Drosophila melanogaster: one gene and its partner. Changing the gene in region 1 together with any one later gene gives a genetic interaction. Each region holds a gene or a part of one and is shown on either strand. Other genes may lie near its edges.

Region 1 (10,138 bases):
GTGAGTATCTGTGAATGGGCAGATTTATTTGGCGTATCTACTAAACTAGCTAGTGACAAAACAGCACTTCCCTAGTTAGTTGCTATATCATTTGAATTGCGGTTTGTAAACTAATTATTGTATATTATTGTATTATTGTATAAAAATTATAATAGACATTATAGTAACAGCGTTTAAAGATAAAGATATTCTCATTTCAGAGTGGCAAATTTAATTTAATACTTTTGAATACTATTGTTATTGTTATTTGTTTCTAAGGAATTCTTTGTTTCCGGCTCAAGATCTAAGCTTGCAATTCAAATTGGCCGTTTCGAGTGCAGATGTGTGCAAATCGAGATTGACATGGCTGGGTATTCTGGCCACAGGTGGCAACAGGTGTGCGGCTGCTGCAGACTGCCTCGCGAGGTAGGTGAGAGGACAAGGAGGGCGTCCAGGTGCAGATGGGGGCGATGGCGATTGCCAATCGATTTGTCGTGTTTACGTGACCCCAACTAACGGAGCCGTGCAAATCGATTGGGACGCTTGGTGACACTTGGCAATTGCATTTGGGGCGCGTGTTTTGTGGTTCCGCTGCGGTTAATGCCGCTGATCGCATTGGTCAGGGTGGTCTAGACCACGTCTGACTTCCTGCTTTCCAAATGCCCTTCGCAACTACCACCCCCCTTTCCCTTACTCACCCAGCAACTTGGATACGGCTCCTTGTTGGGATAGCATATGCTGCGCCAGATCATATCCACGCAGTCCGAAGCGGGACAACTCCAGTAGTCGATGCTGCGAGGCCAGGGCGTTGAGATTCGTGGCCGCCGCCGCTGCTGCTCCTGGTCCCGCTGCTGCACTGCCTCCGCAGAAGATGCCGCCCAACGCCGCAGCAGGGGGTGCTCCTTGGGTGAGGATGGGCGTGGAGGGGCTCAAACTGTGCGGTTGGGCGAGAACTAAAATGGGAGAGCAGAAAAGTAATCATCAGAGCACAGAAAAAAAAATCTTATGATTTTATCTGATCTTGAATAATAGACGTACATTAAAATAACTTATACTAGTTCATAAGTTAAAGATCAATTAGGCAATCAAAATTAATTTTAACATAAATAAATACTTCTTATTGCTCATTCTTTTGTATACCCAATTTTTCTTGGTGCAGGATCGCCAAATCATTAAACGTCAATTGGAATTTAAACGAAGCTGTTGCCGGCATTCCGCGCGTGACACAGAAACACCAAGAAATTTGTAGCCCGATCATCTGGAGAGACTGGGGCTCCAATCATTTTGGGGGGCAGCTGGTATGGACAGCGAACAGAGATGGCTGGACAAATTTCGGTGTGTGTTTTTGATCGACGACGTCAAAGTCAAAGTCGAGCCAGAAGGAGCTGCTCCGTCCTCCATGCCTCCGTCCAGTGGCGGAAGTGTCAACGTTTATGGGCATAATGGACGCGGTGTGGTCCATTACCGCTGACACCGACTGTTGATTCCAGTCGGAATTTATGAAATTCTCGCTGGCAATTTGTAGCTCGGAGCTGGAACTCTGGATCTCTGGATCTCAGTATCTCTGTATCGGAATCACAATCGAAATCGCAGAATTGCGGAATGGGATGGCAGATCGCTTGTCAGCGGACTGGCAGCAATTGGCCATTCCTCGGATGTAGAAGCTTTTATGTTCATTTTGACATTTTATCTGATCGCGAGAACTGCACACATTTTAACACCTCTTTTTTGGTGCGATCGAGCTCCGTGTGTGGCGACGACGGCATGCCATCGTTTTCCCAGTATGCACTTCGATTGGGGCATCTCCTCCAGCTTCGCCAGCTCCTGGGCTAATTAAACCCCATGCAGATGGGACTGGGAGCTGGGAGCTGGACCTGGACCAGCTTACTCCATTTAAAAGTGCCCGGCTGCAATTTGTTGCACTCGCATGTTGCGCCAATTGTTGTGGCCGCGGTTATGGCCATGCTTGATTTATGCCGCCGCAACAGCCGGCCAACTTGGATGTCAACAGGCGGTGAGCTTGCCCCCGGATTGCCCCAGTCCCGGATCCTGTTGCCTGTGTTGCAGTCACAGTCCAGATTCTATGGATCGACCGATGATTTACTACGCAATGCGACAGCTCCGACTGCCCTGCGATGCGCCTCAGTCAATTGCAAAAGCGGCTTAAAATCGCTGGAACCACGGCCCAAAACCAAAGCCACTCGCTCTTCTTCTACATACTGTACACTGACATTTTTAATGGGTGTTTATCCTTATATGGATTAATATGTTAGTGAGATGCTTTCCTAGTATAGCCTTATATTCAGATGAGCGCTTAATTCGAAATAGAAGATATTATATGTTTTAAATATACATAAATATATAATAACATATGTGGTCTTGATTTATATTAAATCTGTTATTATAGTAAATTAATCGAGAGATAATAATTTAAAGGCCAAACATTATTTATGTATTGGTTTATATACAATACATATGTAAATGCTAGCTATTGCTGATTTAAATATATGTACATATACCTGCCTTTAAATGAGTGTTAATAATAGATCCCTCAAACTCGTACTCTTTCTTTGGACTCAGTATGCATTTTTCTCAGTGCATTCGTTCGCACGTCACCGTGAGACTTATAACAAGAAGCGATGCCGATCGGAGTTGGACTAAAGCTCGAACTCGAACTGGGGATCGCAGCTCGCCACAAGTGATGATCGCCTCGGAATTCAATTGATAGTTTGATTTATTGCTACCGGTAACTTTTTGCCGCTTCGTCCCCAGCCCCCCTCCACCCCTCTCCATCACCATCCATCCAGCCAGCCAGCGCATATAAATTAAAGTTGCTCGCTTTTTATGTGGCTCCTCGACGCATCCCCATCCCGATCTCCTCTAACCACATACCCATCCCAATCCCAATCCCAATCCCCTTCAGTTAGTGCTCGCTGATCTTGTTTGTCGCGCGCAGCGCATTACTCGTCCTCTGGAAAGCGAAGCTTCTGGTTTTTACTGCCAGTGCGCATTACTGCGATCTTCGCACATTTTCCTAAGCTCCAAGAATTTTGCGGCGGGGCGACGTGCTCTTACATAAGTCAGTCTAATTTTATGCCATCCTTTATTGGATTTCATTGTACGGCTCTGGCTTATGGTCCATGGCTATTAATTGTGGCTAACCAGTATGGTGCAAAAATGCAAATTGAAATAAAACACCTTTATCTTTTCACAGATGCATAATTGCTTTTTAATTGTGTATCTAATTTTGTATGTTTATCTCAACGATGATAAAACGTAGCCTTGGACAAATCTTTTGGGACTATTAAATTGGATTGAAAAAATATGGGTGTGTTCCGTATCACTTAAAATTTCAAAATTCATAGGAATATTAAAAAAGTAATGATGTTGTACGGGAATTAATCATTGAGGAGAACTGATATGAGTTTAGTTTGGAGATCTTTACATTGTGAGCTATACCAAATAAAGTTATGATATCTATTTCTAAAGGTAGCACACTTTAGTAAGTACTAATATTACTCTTTTTGCATATTGTTAGCAATGCCCAAAATGTCCTGAAATGGTGACCCCGATTCCTTAGCCGGAAGAATCACCATCTGGGCTGACACACATATTCGCCAACGTAACGCAAGTGGAGAGTAACGCAAGGAGTTCGGACCATGTGCATACGAAATGGCCAAACCTAACCATACCAAAAACCGAACTACATACAAACCATACCGAGCCCCAGCGAAACTGAGGCACTCCTCGGAATCATTGTGCACACCTTTTATACGCTTGGCTTTCTAAGAATAATGTGAATACACGCACCACGTAACCTGAGAGCCCTAAGTATGGTTTCTGCCCTATGCTTAAACTTCAATGTATGCCATGTACCTTCCACCCCCCTTCGATTCTCCCCCCCCCCCTTCTCACCTCTTTTTGGTGTCTCTTTTTCAGTGAGTCTCTACCTCTCGGGGCTCTTTTTATAATTATTTATTTATTGTGCAACTTCCAACACCTTCCAGAGACAAGTCAAAGCTTTGCTGTCCGCTGCGTCCCGCTTTTTCCATCCGGGGAATATACTCGTACTATGTGTGTGTGTATCTTGCAGATACATTCGATGGCCGCCGACGTGAACTAATTTTATTTGACAACCCATACTTGTGCAAAACAAATTGCCACTGATGTGCGAAAGACCAAAACAGTTGCCACAGCTCAGTTGTGTCTTGCTGCGTGTTGCTGCTGCTGCTGCTGCGTTGCTGTTGTGAAATTTCCAAATCATTGCACTGCTCCAGCATGCATTTGACTAGTGCCACCAGTTTCTTGTGCCCGGTTGGCTTTTGTTTTAAACTGTTTCGAGCCCCCGATTCCCGATTCCATGTCAGTTCACGGAATTCGCCCGAATCTTGCGGCTCACATGGAGCGTGCAGCAATAGCAGTGCCACAAGGGGCAACATTAGTAGTAAAATCAACTAAGAAACCAACGAACTTAACTTAAACGTTAGTGGAGATAAAACATTTGTAGTTCTCGTGCAAAATAAAAAAAAAAAACAATCAAACAATCGGAAAATCAATGAATTTAAAGGCTATTTAAGTTACTTTTAAAGCTTTGGTGCTAAAAATAATAAGACAAACCTGTATTTAAAAATTACAAAAATAATTTGCTGTACGTGAACAAATTAAAAAAAAAAACAATTTAAATAAAATTTTTAGGATTGGGCATTGTAAGAATTTAATTGGATGATAATACATTTTATATGCTGCTGACTTTAATAAAAGTTTATATTTTAAATCCTTATTATCCTTATAATCCTTATACTTGTTAGAAATATAATACAATATATTATTATATAAATATAATATAATGTAATTAGTAAACGAAAGAATGCATAGAAAGTTTCTCAGATGAATTCTGAATTGTATTTGGTTTTGAAAACTGAAAACTGTCAGTTATGATTTTTCATACGTTTTCCCATTCAAAAAATATTACTAAATTTTTTTTAAATAAAACTAACTACTCCTTTTCTGGATGAGCACATTTTCTTTAGAAACTCATATATGATACTTTTACTGAAACTTAAGCCTGTTAAAATTCAAATTAAAGTCGATAAAGTCATTAAAAAGTTTTTTTGTTAAATTAGAAAGGAGCGTTTTGTTCCAATCGAACTCGCATCAACAATAAATTAAAATGTGCCAAACAAGGCTTGTAAAATATTATTTATTTTAGCACTCACCTGTGGTAGCAGCCGTGGGCGAAACGGGCGTGATTGCCGCCGGCTGACCGACGCCTCCCGCGGAACTGCCCAGCAGTTGGAGATGCGACGGCAACGGCACGGCGGCCATGGGCATGATGGCGCCGGGGGATTGAGAGCCGGCGGTGGCGGTAGCGGGAATTGCGGGTGCTGCTCCTGGCAGGGAGACTCTAATGGCTGCAGTTGTCCTTGTGGGTCCGGGTGAGGTGCTGGTTGCCATGCCACGCTTCCAAAAATCTTCAAGCGCCAGCAATGCAATTGATGTGTTTGGCTATTTTTTTTTTCTCAGTGAACAACAGGCGGCATTTTGTGGGCTTTCTGTGTTTCACCGACGGTTTTTTTGAAAGGGATTATTTGTGAAATTTTTGTTTTTTTTTTGGCACGCCACTCGAAAACGCGCACCGAAACCGCTCGCTTGTGTTGCTGTTGCAAGTTGCACGTTGCTGCTTCTGTTGCTGCTTCTGTTGCGGCTGATGTTGCTGTTGCGTCGTGTTGTTGCTGCTGCTGCTGCTGCTGCTGCTCAACGCTCGCTGACTCGACGCGCACCGCACTTCGCACTCAAACTCAACGCCCGCCGACTCGCTGAATGAGACTGAACTCGGAGCCACCGGCAGCGCAATATCTTACTTGGCCAAAACCTGGATCGGGTTGCTATAGCTGTTGTGTTGCTGCATTCTGGTTTGCCTGTGCTTGTGGTCGGTTTGCCACTGAGCATTCAGCCGTGTTTTTTTTTTCCGCCTCTGAGTGTGTGTGTGTGTGTGGGGGGGTGCGTTAGTGTGTGTGTGCTCGCTTTGAGCGTCGCCCCATTGAGCAGTTTGCTGAGGAAATGAGAGGCAAAATCGGAGGTGGAAAAAAATATGCCGAGAAAAGCGTAGCAGTTGTAAAAGTTCAATAATTAATTACTCGGGCATTCGATTTCAGTGCATTGTTTATCAAAAACTTTCTGGCCCGAACTGCGCTACCAGTTGCTTTCGGCCTTTTAATTGAGCGGCGTTTTTGTTTGGTAATACATACGTGGTGTTGGCCAGTTGGAAAAGTTGTTATATGGAAATGCCGACACCACGAATCGGCTGTCAATCATCGATCACCAAAGGAAGCACTGAAAGAAACACTCAGCTTGAGTGATTTTAGGGAAAGTAAATAAAACACAATAAGATATGATATTATATGATATGCTGCCTAATCCTTTAATACAATTGGAAAATTGTGTCTATATAAAGATGTAATATTAAGTTCTATAATAATGTGCCATTAATGTTATTACAATTTTTATATATATTTGTTTTCTGACTATTGTATTGATTAATTCATGAGATAAACATTCAAAGGGCTGTAGGCGGTAAACTATTTAATATATCATGTTTGCATTTAAATACGTTTATATGTGATGTGTGCAAACTATACATAACAAAAAACAGTTTTCTCTTTATCCCAAAATCCGATAATTTTAAATCGTTTAAATTTAATATGAAATGTTAAATTTTTTTGCGTGATTCCCATATCCTTGGCTCCCGTACACTGAACCCCTTCTTCTTCTGTTTCTTCCCCAAAATCGAGGATGAGCAAAAAGCGCATTACACGGGACATTGGCGGACATTAGTGACTTGGCCGGACGAGAAACCAATGAATCCACGTTGGACGCGACTCCACTCATTTTGGCCAACCACCGCGGTGGTTACTAGCCAAGTGGGGTGTGCAGTTTGGGTGGCAAGGAGGTGGTAAGCAGCGACGTAACCGATTAACTAGGTGGAGAAAAAGAGAGCGAGATAAGGCTGCGCAGCAAAGGAGACAGAGCGAGAAGGAAAGCGCAATATGCATTGCGATTGCAGTGGAGTGACAGGAGCGGCACGAGGTGAAGATGGGTCGGCTAATTGATTTATTTCGCCCACTGTTCCCCTCTCACTCCCACTTGTTCGCTGGTTGGCTGAGTTACAGAAATCAGGAGCCGTGTAATAATGGCCGCCAACTTTTAAGTCTGTGTATGTACATATGCATGCATGTGTATTTGGGCCCTTTAACGTGAAATGATTTTTGCACAGCCAGAGGTGTTGTTATTGCAACTCCCCACTGCAGCGGCACTTCTCTATCCCCCCTTTCTTTTCCAGTGGGTGTGACAGAGAGGCGGCGAACGGACAACCTCCCACACTGATAATGGAAAATAATCAATTTTAATGGCCTATAATTTCGCAGCGCAAAATAACAATGATTCTACGGAGATAGAGAGGCACAAGTTTTGCCATTCAAAATGCACAGCCATGCACGCAGCGCACATAACTTTTGCCAACGCAGGCGTACTAATTTATTTATGTTGATAGAAGACCAGGCAAAAGTTGCTTCCACTAAAAAATATACATATATATGTATATATGACAAGAAAGAAAAAAAACAGATTAAAAGAGAGGGAGATCGCGTTGAGCTCGACTCACCTTCACCTTACATAATTTGAGACAAACTCAAGTTAGCTGGCCAACTGAGTGAGAGCGAGTGAGAGGCGTGTCTGAAGAGCAGACGCGCAGCTGCGCACTAGCTATAGAGTTGTCTTTCTTGCTCCCTTGGTAACTGGAATACCTAGTTATGCCCAATGGGAGAACACTAAGAAAACTCAAAGAAAGGCAAAGTGCCAGTGATTGTCAGAAGGGGGGGCTGAAAGGGGGCCTAGTGTTGATCGGATGTTAAGCAGCGGAATTAACTCGCGCTGCCCAGCCCCTCCACTTCCCCCTTCTGATTGATTTCGGCCTGCATGATTGATTAGATTAATAACGCGGCTAATTAAACATTTATCACTGTATCTAACAAACCGCCCGAGGGGGCGCAAATTAACCCTCCAAGACAACACAAATTATGCCTTCTGCTACAGGCCAACTTCTTTGAATACAACCTTGTTAATTTATTAATTTAAATCAGATAATATTTGTAAATTTAATGCACAAATTATAAAAGTTAGTAAGTATCCCAATAACTTTTTAATAAATGTATAATAAATTTAGTGCATTTACCTTGTTTAACATAAATACTAATGTTAAGATAGGATTTTCATTCAACAACAGTAAAACCATTTAAATTTTGTTTTGAAGAAAAAAGTAATTCATTCAATCATATCTATTTAGCCTATCTTTAATATAATATCTCTAGTTTTTGGTAGTAAGAATCTCGACCACGAACAAATAAAAGAAAAGCATTGTCTCAAAAAAACCTTCAAAATTAGTTGAAAAATCATGTTTTATATTAAATTTATAGTTTATATAATAAATGGAAATTCGGTTTAAGGGCGTTCGACTGTGTGCGACTATGTGCCTGCTTCTAATTGCGTTTCGTGCAACTTTTTCGGGGATGGGCGCATTAATTATGGCCGCCTTGGCTAACGCCTGCCGGCCGCCATTATTTCGGCAGCAAAGTGGCCAAGTTCCAGCCAGATAGCCATCTAGTATCTACATCCCAGCCCAAAGTTACCCAAAACTAAGAGCCCAGCCCCGTGTGCCGTGCATATTTGTGGTAGCCACGCTTCCTGTTTTTGTTTGCTCGCCTGTCCGTTTGCCCGCCGTCCGTTTGTCCGTATGTCCGTTGTCCGGCTGAAAATATTCCAAACAATGTAGACAAGAAGTGCTCAGGCCGGGCGGAGTTTTTGTGGCCATGGTTAGCGACGCGGTGGTGTTTACCCACATGTAGGCATATGCATATGCTGATTTCCACCAAGGCGGGGGTCATAGTCTTTTTTCTTTTTTTGAGGGGGGTTTGTGGTGGAGGAGTGGGCCGTCAGCTTGGTGAACCGTGAAAAACCCTGGGGTAGAACACTCCTCCAACCCAAACAGAGAAAGAGAATTTCGTAATGTTAACAAACAAATAGAAAATAACTTTTAGGCACAGCTCTGTAGCTTCCTCATAGAGAAAAACCTTTCGCTGGAGGTTCTACACACAAAGAGAAAACTATTACAATCCATAAGATACGAAAATCTTTTATATATGCCTGAATTATTGAGCTATCTTTACTCGCTTGAAACTTAGCCTTTTAAATACCAACGGAATGCTATGAATAAACATCTTACCCTGATAATATCTCAATATAATAGAAGGTAACTTCGGAATAAGAAATCTTAGAATTTGTTTCTTCAGTAGTAAAACATTTTTTTTTCTCAGCGCAAGACCTTCTTTCTAGATACGAAATCCAGCGGAAATATGCTCAAGTTTCTGTTTTTGTTGGTCGGAAATGTTTAGCGCTTGCTCAGAATGATTAAAGTGTCGCTTTTTGTCTAGTTCCATTTGCTTTTTCCCATTTGCATACAAATGTTCCTCAAAATTTCGCTGAGTAATGCGAAAGCAACCAAATCTACTTCATTGTAGGTTAAATTGCAACGACTTCCTGATTCTTCTTAAAAGTTGGTGTAACCGCGAATTAGATTTTGGAATGTCATTAACTCTTATAAAAAAGGTATCTTTATATAATATACTATATGAATCTTAGATTAATATTCATTATTTTGTAACATTCTCTGATTTAGTTATGATGGCGTTATAATCCCTTAATCCATTTCTCAGCTCCGTCACTCAGATTTCGATACTAAAATCGGCGGGCGTCTGAGTCATGTGCTCCTCCTTCGATATCACGGCGAGCACGCACCACTCGGCCGGCGGAATGTAATGATTAACTCTTCGCAGTTGCTAAATTAAGTGAGTTTTTACTGCTCCCCACGAAATGGGATGGGAAGGGGGGAGGCACAAGGTGTTTGGGGAGTGTCGCCGAGCAGGGAATACTGACTGCATCATCGACTGGAGTCAACTTGCAGTTGGCCAGCTGAATACTGAGTGGGTTAAGGGGGGAGAGCGGAAGATCACATTGCGTGTCTGGGGCCAGAAATGATTTCCACATACCACAGCAGTTAAAGCCCTTAAGTCAGGGAGAAAATCCAATTAAATTCGGTAGCGAAAGA
Region 2 (10,138 bases), 8.5 Mb from region 1:
CGTAAAGCCATTTATTGTAAAAGGCATCAAAGCTTTGCTCTCCCGTTCCAGGTAACTGAAATAAACTTTTTGCATTAAGATACTGCAATATTATTTTGGCTTTTGTATTATATTTCGTAGGATTTTTAGGGTTGTATAAAAATGATAAATTTACATCGTCATATAAATTATGCCTACCTATCGAATAAAAGATTTTGTTTAAAATGATTTTCACTCTACTCTTCTTTGTTAAATTACAAATTTCGATATTTGATTCTGAGAGACTTTTGATTATGAGTAAGTTGTTGGAACTTTCGCGACCACGATCCACTGGCCAGCGAGTGACCATCCGACTCGACTCCTTTGGGCTATTGCGTGCAGGCGGGAGTCGGCAGCTCCTTGCTGATCGTTGACCGATTCCATAATTGATTGGTCTCGGGATGATGGGACCCAAAAACTGAGGCTGTGTCTTCTGGCCGTAGGGCACAATTTTTTAGAAACGACGTTCGACGACTTGAGTACTTTTACTTTTGCCCTGGACAGAACAGCGAAATGTAAATTAGTCGACCGAGTTCGCTAAAAAGTGGGGCTACCAAAAATTGATGTGGCAGGTTTTGAGATCGCATGACTGACTGCCTTTCGTCCTCTTGTAGCTGCATTTTCGAATTAGTTTAATAATACAATTAATTGTTATTTATAGCTTCCTTTGCGCTTCGCAAACGCAGCATTTAAAGGCGGAGATCTGATGGCGATGGCCCAGACGCTGTTTTGTGGCACGCAAGGCCCAATTTGGTGGGGCCACAGGTAGACTGTGTCTTAACGGTTCTCAGCTGGGCCTAATAATAGAGTTGGCCATGTTAGTTGTGATGTGGAGGCGGACTCTCCTTCCATCTGCGCCACAGGATATTCCTCACTGAACTTTATGGAATGCCCCCATAACCGACATAAATATCCACACAAGTGACACTTCTCATCCTTTCCTGCGGCGCTGTTTCGCATTAAGTTTATTTATCTGCTTTTAAATGGCATTTTCACTTGCATATAATTCTCGTCCTTCTCCCATGTAATGCGCACTGGAAACAAAGGCAACATAATGTAAGAGCCGCCATAACAGCACGAAGATGCCCAGATACTCCGAACTGCGCACTCCATGACTACCATTTACCACTACTATTTTTATCAGTGGCTAGGCCGCGACGTGCCCCACGTGGAGCAGCAAGGAGCAGCATAGAGCAGCATGGAGCAGCCTGTAGGATAGGAGCTGATTTCGACATGCAAGACAACATGCTAGCTGGCACCTACTTTGCCCATCGAGAGATTTACAGATGAAGCCGTGCTGGGAATGGAAAGCAAGGAAAAAAAAAACCGACCAGAACCAAGTGATATCCATGCCATTTGCCAATCAAACAAATCAAATAGGTAGAGCGGATTCGGTTACAACAGTTTTATAGATCCCATTCCGGGATCTGTTAATTAAAAGATACACACGTACTTTTAGTAGAAAAGTAAAGCAAACAAATCTTCGGGTCTGTACAAATATACTGGATCAATAGCGGCATTCTGTGAGATACATATTCTTGGTTTTACGATGCGCTCACTGTTTCGAGTGTTTGACTGGCTTAAAAGCCAATAAAATTTGCTGTTAATTGTTTTGGTAAATTGAAAATTAGGTTTTGGGAAAAATCATCGCACAAGTATGCATGGAACGAGTTCAGGCTTGAGTTTCGTATCGGCGTTTCCAGTTTTATGTCCGTTGTTTGCCCAGCGCATTAACTTGGCCACTTTTAATGAACTTTGTGAGTGGAACCATCTGCCGCCATACGATCGAGCGGTCATCAGCGGCCTTAGCCCTTCCAAACGAGACAAATCGAATCGCTTTGCCGAAAGCGAGCTGAACTTTAATCGGATTAAATGTAATTTAACTTACTTCTATGACTTTTACCACCATTCCAGCGCTGTGTCGGCAGAAATCGGTTAATTAAAGTTGTACAAAGTTCCAAGCCGATTTCATGCCGCGTTGAATCAACAAATTGTAAACTTTTCCGTACTATCCAACTAACTGGGGGCTGAAGGGTAAGGGAGCAGCACAAGATGGGGGAATCATTTGTACTTACTTAAGTGCTTGATCATGCTGATATCATCACCTGGCAACTTTCCTTTGTGCCCTGCGTACCCACAATGCAATTAGCGGGGTCTGCAGACGCCAGGTGGTCTCCAGTTTCTCGCATCTCCACTCTCATCGCCCGCAATCTTAACCATCGAAAACCATCAGGAATCGGTAAAGAAATAAATACAAGGAATATTACAATATGGGTGCAGCGAAATTGGAGGCGGGTTCGAGTCGAAATCGCTGTGCTCTTCGTTGCGATTCTTACTGTACTGAACATTATAACAATGCGCTCTTCTATGCGATTCTCAAAAGATTTACGTAAACTGTTTAGCAAAATGCATGTCAAAAAAAAAAGGATCTCAATTTGCTTTATGTTTTAAAGTTTCTCGTTATACACTTTCTTATCCAACTCCCTATCAAAACCATCAAACCCTTCATATAGGGCAACACTGACTCAAAAAATCGAGCCGCTGTGTTGACAGTTATTGATCGATGATATTGTAAACACAATGTCGAAATTAATTTTTTATTTTTCTCTCTGTTTTCGGGCTTTTCTCCGGTCTGATCTGTTACCTTCAATTGTACGAACTCATTGTGATGAATTGTAATTGACTTTTATTTTGACTTCAGCGGTTGGTCTTAATGAATCCGCTTAAGCTGCCTCCAGTGCCGTGGAGTTCCCCTTTTTCCTGTTCATTTTCCACGTTCAAAGGGGGGGGGGGGTGAGCTCAACGTTCCAATAAGTGACACTGACTAATTTGGAACCATTAATCTCGGAGCTGCTTAGCGTCAGTCACGCTGGTCGGGCAGCCATCAATACGCATCAAAATCGAATGCGAATAGTGCATGTTTACATGGATGGATGTGCAACACAACAGGAGACACACTTCTAGGTCAGCACGTATAGGTATATATTTTAAATATAACTATTATTTTTGTTACTGTTATTCATGCACATATTCTTAAAATACTACCAGCAGATAAGTGCTATTATTTTGACCGCAATTGTGGCCCAACAGTCTCCATGACGAATGTGTGACCGCTGCGTCTCGCTTGGGTGTCGGTCGTTTGGTGTTCCTACTTTGCCTCCATTTCTAAGCCCAGTGTGCAGTACTAAGAGCCCATTCCGATTTTCATAGAGCCCACCCATTCCCGTTCCCCATTTCCGCGGACATTGAGCCGAGTGCGGTCGTGGACTTGGACGTGGATTTGAATCTGGATGCCGACGTGGACAAGGCGTCCAATCAAGCCGCGTGTCTGGCAGTCAACTAGTCACTCACTTCGGCCACAGAGACTGCGTCGGTCCGTCAGTCAAATACTCGCTTTAATTTCGACCTCCTCGCGATTAGCGAAAGCACCAGGAGAAATATGTTTGGCGATTAAAACGTATGTTCCAAGTAACTAATATTTATAGTTATCATTTTTTATTAACAATTTTTATTTGGCACAATTTTTACGACATGACTTTTATCCTCATTCATCTATTCAATCTAAGTGCAGATTTCCGTTGAAAGGGAAATAATTGCTTTTAAAACAAAAAAGTTATTTAAATGCTGAGCTAATAAAATATTCAGGTTTATTTCGCGGTGTATTGCTGCATGAGTTGCTGGAGCTGCATGACTACCGGGCATAATTCCTGCACCACCGAACGAAATATGGTACCGAAATGAACACATTGCCAGGTTGGCGGTTCTGCGCACGCGCACAGTTGTTGGCCAGGCTTAAAGGCCCCTTCGTTGATGCCCTGAAAGCACTCTCGTTCCTACCCTGCTCCATCCCCATCACCATTCGCATCCTCCGCTCCATCTGCGGCTCGCTTTGGCCTGGCGACACTCGTAACCGCAGGGCGACGGCGCAGCCCGTTTTCGATTAACGATGACCGTGGTTGAGGACCAAGACGAGGACGCGGATGGAGGCAACTTGAGCGTGTGCCAGCCGAGCGAAATTTTATCTGGATGCCCAGCCGATCAGTTGAGAAGCTAGAGCTAGGCTACACTGAAAAAAAGTGATTTCAAATTATTTTTAAAGGTGAAACCATTTCAGAAAACATTTTTGTTGTGCTGCAAGCTGCATGCGAAGTTGTATGGTATTTTCAAAAGTGTTATTGAACAATTATTTTTTAATTTTTATGGAGATCTTAAAATGGTTTGGGATGTGTAAGTCCGAGTTGAGCACTGAGTCCGTGGCAACGCCTTCGGTTTACATTTTACAATCCTAACAAGGTTAGGCCGCCCGATAAACGGAGCTGCACTCGTTTGGTTATAAGGCTAGGTTGTGATCTGGGCTTTTCAGCTGAAGTTGCAGTTGAAGATGCAGTTGAAGTTGCAGCCGAAGTTGGAGGCTGGGGATCGGAACTTGGAACAGGCAGCTTGCAGCTGGAGGTGGCACATGCCTAACCGGCAACCAAGCTGCTATGCAAACACACACACACACACACACTTATACGGAGCGGAATGGTGGCCATGGCTACGAACTGTACATACGGAATTGCACATTAAAAATGAGCAATGGGAGTGGGCGGAATACGGAGGAATGGGAAGTGGGTTCCGAGGGTTTCGTGGCAAGCGGGCGGCTGATTCCAGCCGAGCGATGTCTTTTTCTGTGGCAGAACAAGGTTGGAATGGCCTGCGTCGCCGCTACCACCGTCTCTGCACCGGTAGAAAAATCATACTGACATAATAATAAACTAATAAAAATAATTAAAACACTGTGAAGGCCAATTGATTTTGCTTGCTCATTTGGGTACACACAATGGCCACTTAAGTTAAACAGTTTTAAAGCCCCTGGGTAATTGTCGATGGTTCTAAATTTATGCTAAGCTTTTGTATTTAAAGGGCTCAGTCTTAAATAATCTAAAACATTAAACTATTAAGGGTTGGATAGATTTTTCAGCTGACACAAGGCGATAAAAGTTTACATTTTTATGCTGTTCTCTTACCGAATTAAATACGAATTCACTATTTTCTTGCAGTGCTCCGCCGACTCTGCTTAATGCAATTCAGGCGAAAGGCGCACAAAGGGACAGCGAACAAGATGCCGAGTTGCTGATTGTGCGGGCAGCGCAGTCGACGCGGGCAGAGGTGTCCGCAAAAGCTTTTGTCGCCGCCACAAACATGGAATATGACAAGCTGGTGAGGAGTAGGATGGGATTCGGATTGGGATGGAATGGGATCGAGCTGAATGGGCTGAGAGCAGCAAGAGGAGGAGGAACGGGAAGATACTGCTGGATGGTGCCTGGCATGCAAAGCATTGTCAAGTGGGGAGCAGGCCAAGTGCTACACAAAAACCGAGCGACAAAGAAACGTCGCAGAACGCTGCCGACGCACGTGAGATGTGGATGCATTTGATGCACGGAGCGAGAAAGGGATGTAGAAATTAGTAGTTTGAAATTATTGTAAAAGAATTCTTCTGTTTGTATTTTTTAGTTAAATTAATTACTTATCCATAAATACACTGTCTAACTATTTCTAAGCCACTTAAAGGTATAATATAATCTGAAAAGACCTCTCTATTTGAAATAAAATTTCAATGGTAAATAGAGGAGCGGCTCTTGAATGTTTAAATAAAGTTTAATGCTTGCACTTTTTGTTCCAAGTGCATGATTTAAGAGTGTGTAGGCTTCCCTGTGTGGGCAGGGTAGGGAAGCCAGGCGAAAGAGCGATGGAGAGAGCGAGAGACAATGGCGACAATAAAAATGCGATCGCACAACATGCTCCACAGATAAGTTAACGCAAAGTGACAACGTACAACTTTTAATGGAATTGTCGTCGCCGACGGTGGGCGGTGGGGCGTGGCAGGGTAGTCAGGAGGGGAGTGGGGGTATATATGACATAGCCAAGAAGTCACCGCATTTGGAGCGCTGCCAAGTCAGTTGAACTATGTTTACTTTAAGGATACGGCCGCCACCTGGAAAAGGGACCTTCAAAGGCTGCCTTACACGATTCCGAATCCCCGATTCCGATCAGAAGTGGGCTGAGTGGGGGTCGACACACGAGCACATGAAAATTGCCTTCGGCAGCTACTGTGGCACAAGCTAAAGAGAGAGGATGAGAGCGAGCGCGATCGAAGAGAGAGCGCCAGCTGCTCCCATTGGAGCAGCTAACGTTTCCAATTGGACCAGCTCAAAGGGAATTCTCTCTCTCTCTTTCTCTCTCGCTACTCTCACCGCTTACTGGTCTTTCTGGTTTTTGTTTTGTTTACGATTTTCGCTGGAAGAAGAGAAGAGTAGATCGCGCTACCACAATCAGTTGCTTTTCAAGCTTGCCACAAGCAAGACGTCAGTGCGCGCGTGCTGCGATATCGAAATCGAAATAAACTTAAAAGATATCGTAATTTCAGAAATCGAGCAGAATTCATACGATCCAGGAAAAGAACCAGCTAATATTGGAATATAAAACCTACCCAGTGATCAAATCGGCGGTGCTTCAATGTGCGCGTAGTGGTCCGTAACCGTATGATGAGCCTGACTGTGCTCTCGCCACCGCAACGTTTTAAGCGAATCCTGCAAGCCATGATGTTAGCCGTCGCCGTCGTCTATATGACCCTACTGCTCTACCAGAGCGCCTACGGATATCCGGGCATCCAAGTGAGTTGCGAGTTCGAGTGGGCGACATAATCCAGCTTGCGTGGGTGTTGTTAGCGCTGCGAAACTGTCAAACGTGTGTGCTCCGCACTGATCTGCATAAGTTGCAAAGCTGCAAAGGCCAGGCAATTTGCATTATCCCCCTTTGATTCCGATCCCGATCGACGTCGACTCGTGCACTTTCATAAATCAACGCCGGCGACTTGAGTTTTGCAGCTGCGGCTTTGGCCGTTAAAAAAACCTTTTACGCCCTTGCCTTGCATATAAAACAGTTTCGGTGCTTGGCTTTTTGCGCTTTTATACCCTAATAGGGGGTATCATAATTGAACACAAATTTCGGCGAGGAAGCGTTTTAAAAGGATATACCCTACGATTGGTGATTGGATGGGGATCGGTATCACGGGGAATTCATTTGGAACTAAGGACTTGATTGCTTTAGAAATTGTGCAGAAGTTTATGTAGAGGTAGTGCCTAGCTTAGTGGTTTGTTTCAAAAATGGAAATATGATCCTGAATTTATTTGTTTTTTTTTTTTACAATTAAGCTTATATTTGATTGATTTAAGGACAAGAGAATGTAATTCTGTTAAAGTTGATGTTCAAAGATCGGCTCGCATTATCGAGACATTATTAAAATCCTAAAATCATACCATTAGGCACTTGGAATATATTTTTGAAAATCACCAATACTTTCCAATTCCCACAAGAGTATTCCCAGTTTCGATTACCGAAGATCCAGTCAACCGTTCCTGAATTTCTTGGTTTGCCGTCGGCAGAGCGTCGCCAAAGCTTTCAGTTGCCTGATTCCAGGGCCTGTCAGGGTTCTGAGCCCTGTCTGCTCTGCCCATTTATTATTGTTCTCTTCTTACTCTTGATTTTTGCATAAATTTTTGTGTAATAAAATATTGTGTGCTAATATTACCAAGGTGTGCGCTGCGAGGGGGGATCTCATGGAGGTGAATCTCAATGGACTCGTCCAGTGGAAAACCTTGTCAGTTGCATCACAGATAACAAATAGTTGAGGTCCGTGGGAATGGCCTTAGTTAGCCTCCTATTGCATTGCAAACACTTTTTGGCAGGGTTTTATGCGAACAGGCTATTTTTAGAACCCTTGAAATTCGAACTATGTGTCCACCTTCTAGGATTATCATATTTTAAAAACTTTAAATGAAACGACGCCATAAGAAAATAGTGCACATATTTTTAATCAGTTGCATATACAGATTCCTCAAAGTTTTCTTCCAACATTTCTTTATATAGTTCGATTTTTGTTAAATGAACCCTACTGCTGTAGTTATACCTTCAACTGTTACAGCTCCCTAACTAAGGCTTACAAATTTCATAATATTAGTGATTCGAGCCGCTGGCAATAGAGTTAAGAGCTCATAATTGAATCAGCTGCAGCATCCTCAAAAATATCCATGTAATCCCCTTGCCCTTCACCACCTTCCGGCTTCTCAATTTGCAACTCAATTGCCCAACTTCGAGGCTTCGAGGCGAGTTTGTGGAGGCTCCCCTGTAATGTTTTCGCATGCTGCTGCTAGTGTAATTAAAAACTTTATGTTGTTTTAATTCGGACAATGCTGTTGACGTTGTGGCTCTTCCAGTTGCTCTACTCTTTTTTTTATTTTTGTGTTCTGGGGCTAACCGGAAACTTGGCAGGAATTAGTGCTACACACACATCGCACTACTAAATACTGAGCCGGATAAAAAACTGTCGACAACTGCTGTACTGTTGTTTGTCTTTTCAATTGAAGTTCTGTTCCATCGGAGGTCTGTGACTTGTCCCAGTTTAAAAACTGCATGCCGCGTACAATTTGCTTAATTCTTTTCGTACTTCGTATATGAGTGTTCTCTTTTTGTTCCTAAATGTTGCGCAAAAAGTGCTGCTTGTTGACTTGACATGACTTGGCTTGGCTCGATTCTTCGAACTGTTGAACAGCTAAACAGTCGACTGGACACATACTCGCGCTAAACTGGGCTTGGCATTCGCCTGATAAAGCAATAATTTCGAAATCGGGCGGGGGCGGGGCGGGGGTATTGTCATGGGGGTCTCCATCAGCCCCACAACCCTGCCTATCCAAGATTCCCAGTATCTGATGTCTCATGTCCAGTTGCAGCTCACGTCGCCAGGTCGCCAGGTTGGCATGTCGCGTGTTGCTGACGCATAAATCATAAATGAAACGAAATGAATAATAATCGTCAAACGATTTGCTTGTTTATGAATTTCTTTAAAGTGGCGCGCCAAATGGCCACCAGTCGCTGATTGATTTGAGTAGTTTGTTGTGGCTACACTGTGATCAGCTTACCGATGACACATCGATATGGATAGTAGATTACTTACGTGCATTTATGAACGTGCACAATATAGATTTTTTCTGTAATGACATCTAATTCTTCTTCTAAGATATCCGAATTTATTTTCCAGTATGGACTTTCAAATATTTTTGACGAGTGCATGGTAAATACATAATAACATTAACAAACTCCTAAGCTGAGGAGCATGCAAATCAGCTTGAGGAAAGCAACAGCCACAAGAAGCCTTCGAGGCAGCCCGAGAGACAAAGACCACGATGATGATGATGATGATGATGTGATTCCTGTTTTTGGCCAGGCCAAAAGCAGGTGCTTGCTCTTCACTTCCCATGGCCAACTTAATGCAGCTGGTTGCAGCTACCTTTCCGTGGCCCCTCGATCCACAAAGCCCTCCTTCTGCCCGCCGCTCACGTAATCAGCCCGAAAAAGTTGACGACATTAAGCCGCGGAAGGCGCCTGATAAAAGGAGTAGTATCTGCAGCTGGGCAACCGAGTAAAAGATACCCATATCTGGGTATCTGGGTATCTTTTGGTGGTCGCTTAATTGAGCCTGGATGCTCGGATGCCTGGCTGCTGAGCTGCTGCTGTTGTTGTTGTTGTTGTTGTTGTGTGTATCTTATCTTAGATTCGTATCTTACGGATAATATTGTTAAACAGCATTTAATGAAGATTTTCCCGCTCGCCCAGCTGGAGGCGAACGAACGGTTCTGATTGCATTTTTTCGGGAATGCCTTTGATTTGTTCGATTTCGCTGATTTATGCTTTCCGTTATGGCGACCAGAGTTTAACTCAATTAATCTTCCCAAAGGTCGCCTGAGAGGGGTAGATTCCATTTGGCGCCCTTTCATATTATTCACTCGCACCTCTTCGCTCGATTCTTATGGTTTGCTCGTTATTAATTGACATGGAAATGTTTATAAACATATTAATCACGCGGCTAATGAAGCATTAGTCATTCGAGTGGGCGTAGTGGGGGGCAGCTGTTGCTATTGTGCGGACCGTGTTAAATTTGTTTTGGGATTTTATATCTATTGAATCACCTTTCACCCGGCACTTGTATGTTGTAGGCTGTACATTTGAAGAAAAAATTTGAGTTCTATTAGAAAATACGAAATAAGAATAATGGTGCAAGGGTAGTTTACCAAAAATGTAT

What was found.
Region 2: of toe (region 1) and fng, changing one suppresses a phenotype caused by changing the other (phenotypic suppression), as found in Drosophila melanogaster (one study listed by BioGRID).

What each region holds. Positions count from the first base shown.
Region 1 is NT_037436.4:12,426,881-12,437,018, forward strand, and holds the start of toe (twin of eyg), read right to left. Parts: upstream 5,789-10,138; 5' UTR 5,434-5,788; coding exon 5,196-5,433; intron 933-5,195; coding exon 678-932; intron 1-677.
Region 2 is NT_037436.4:20,945,706-20,955,843, reverse strand, and holds the start of fng (fringe), read left to right. Parts: upstream 1-6,331; 5' UTR 6,332-6,542; coding exon 6,543-6,674; intron 6,675-10,138. Other genes in the region: Sems (seminase), read left to right, coding at 1-55. UniProt on the Drosophila melanogaster protein: Glycosyltransferase involved in the elongation of O-linked ligands to activate Notch signaling. Possesses fucose-specific beta-1,3-N-acetylglucosaminyltransferase activity; extends the O-linked fucose on the Notch EGF repeats.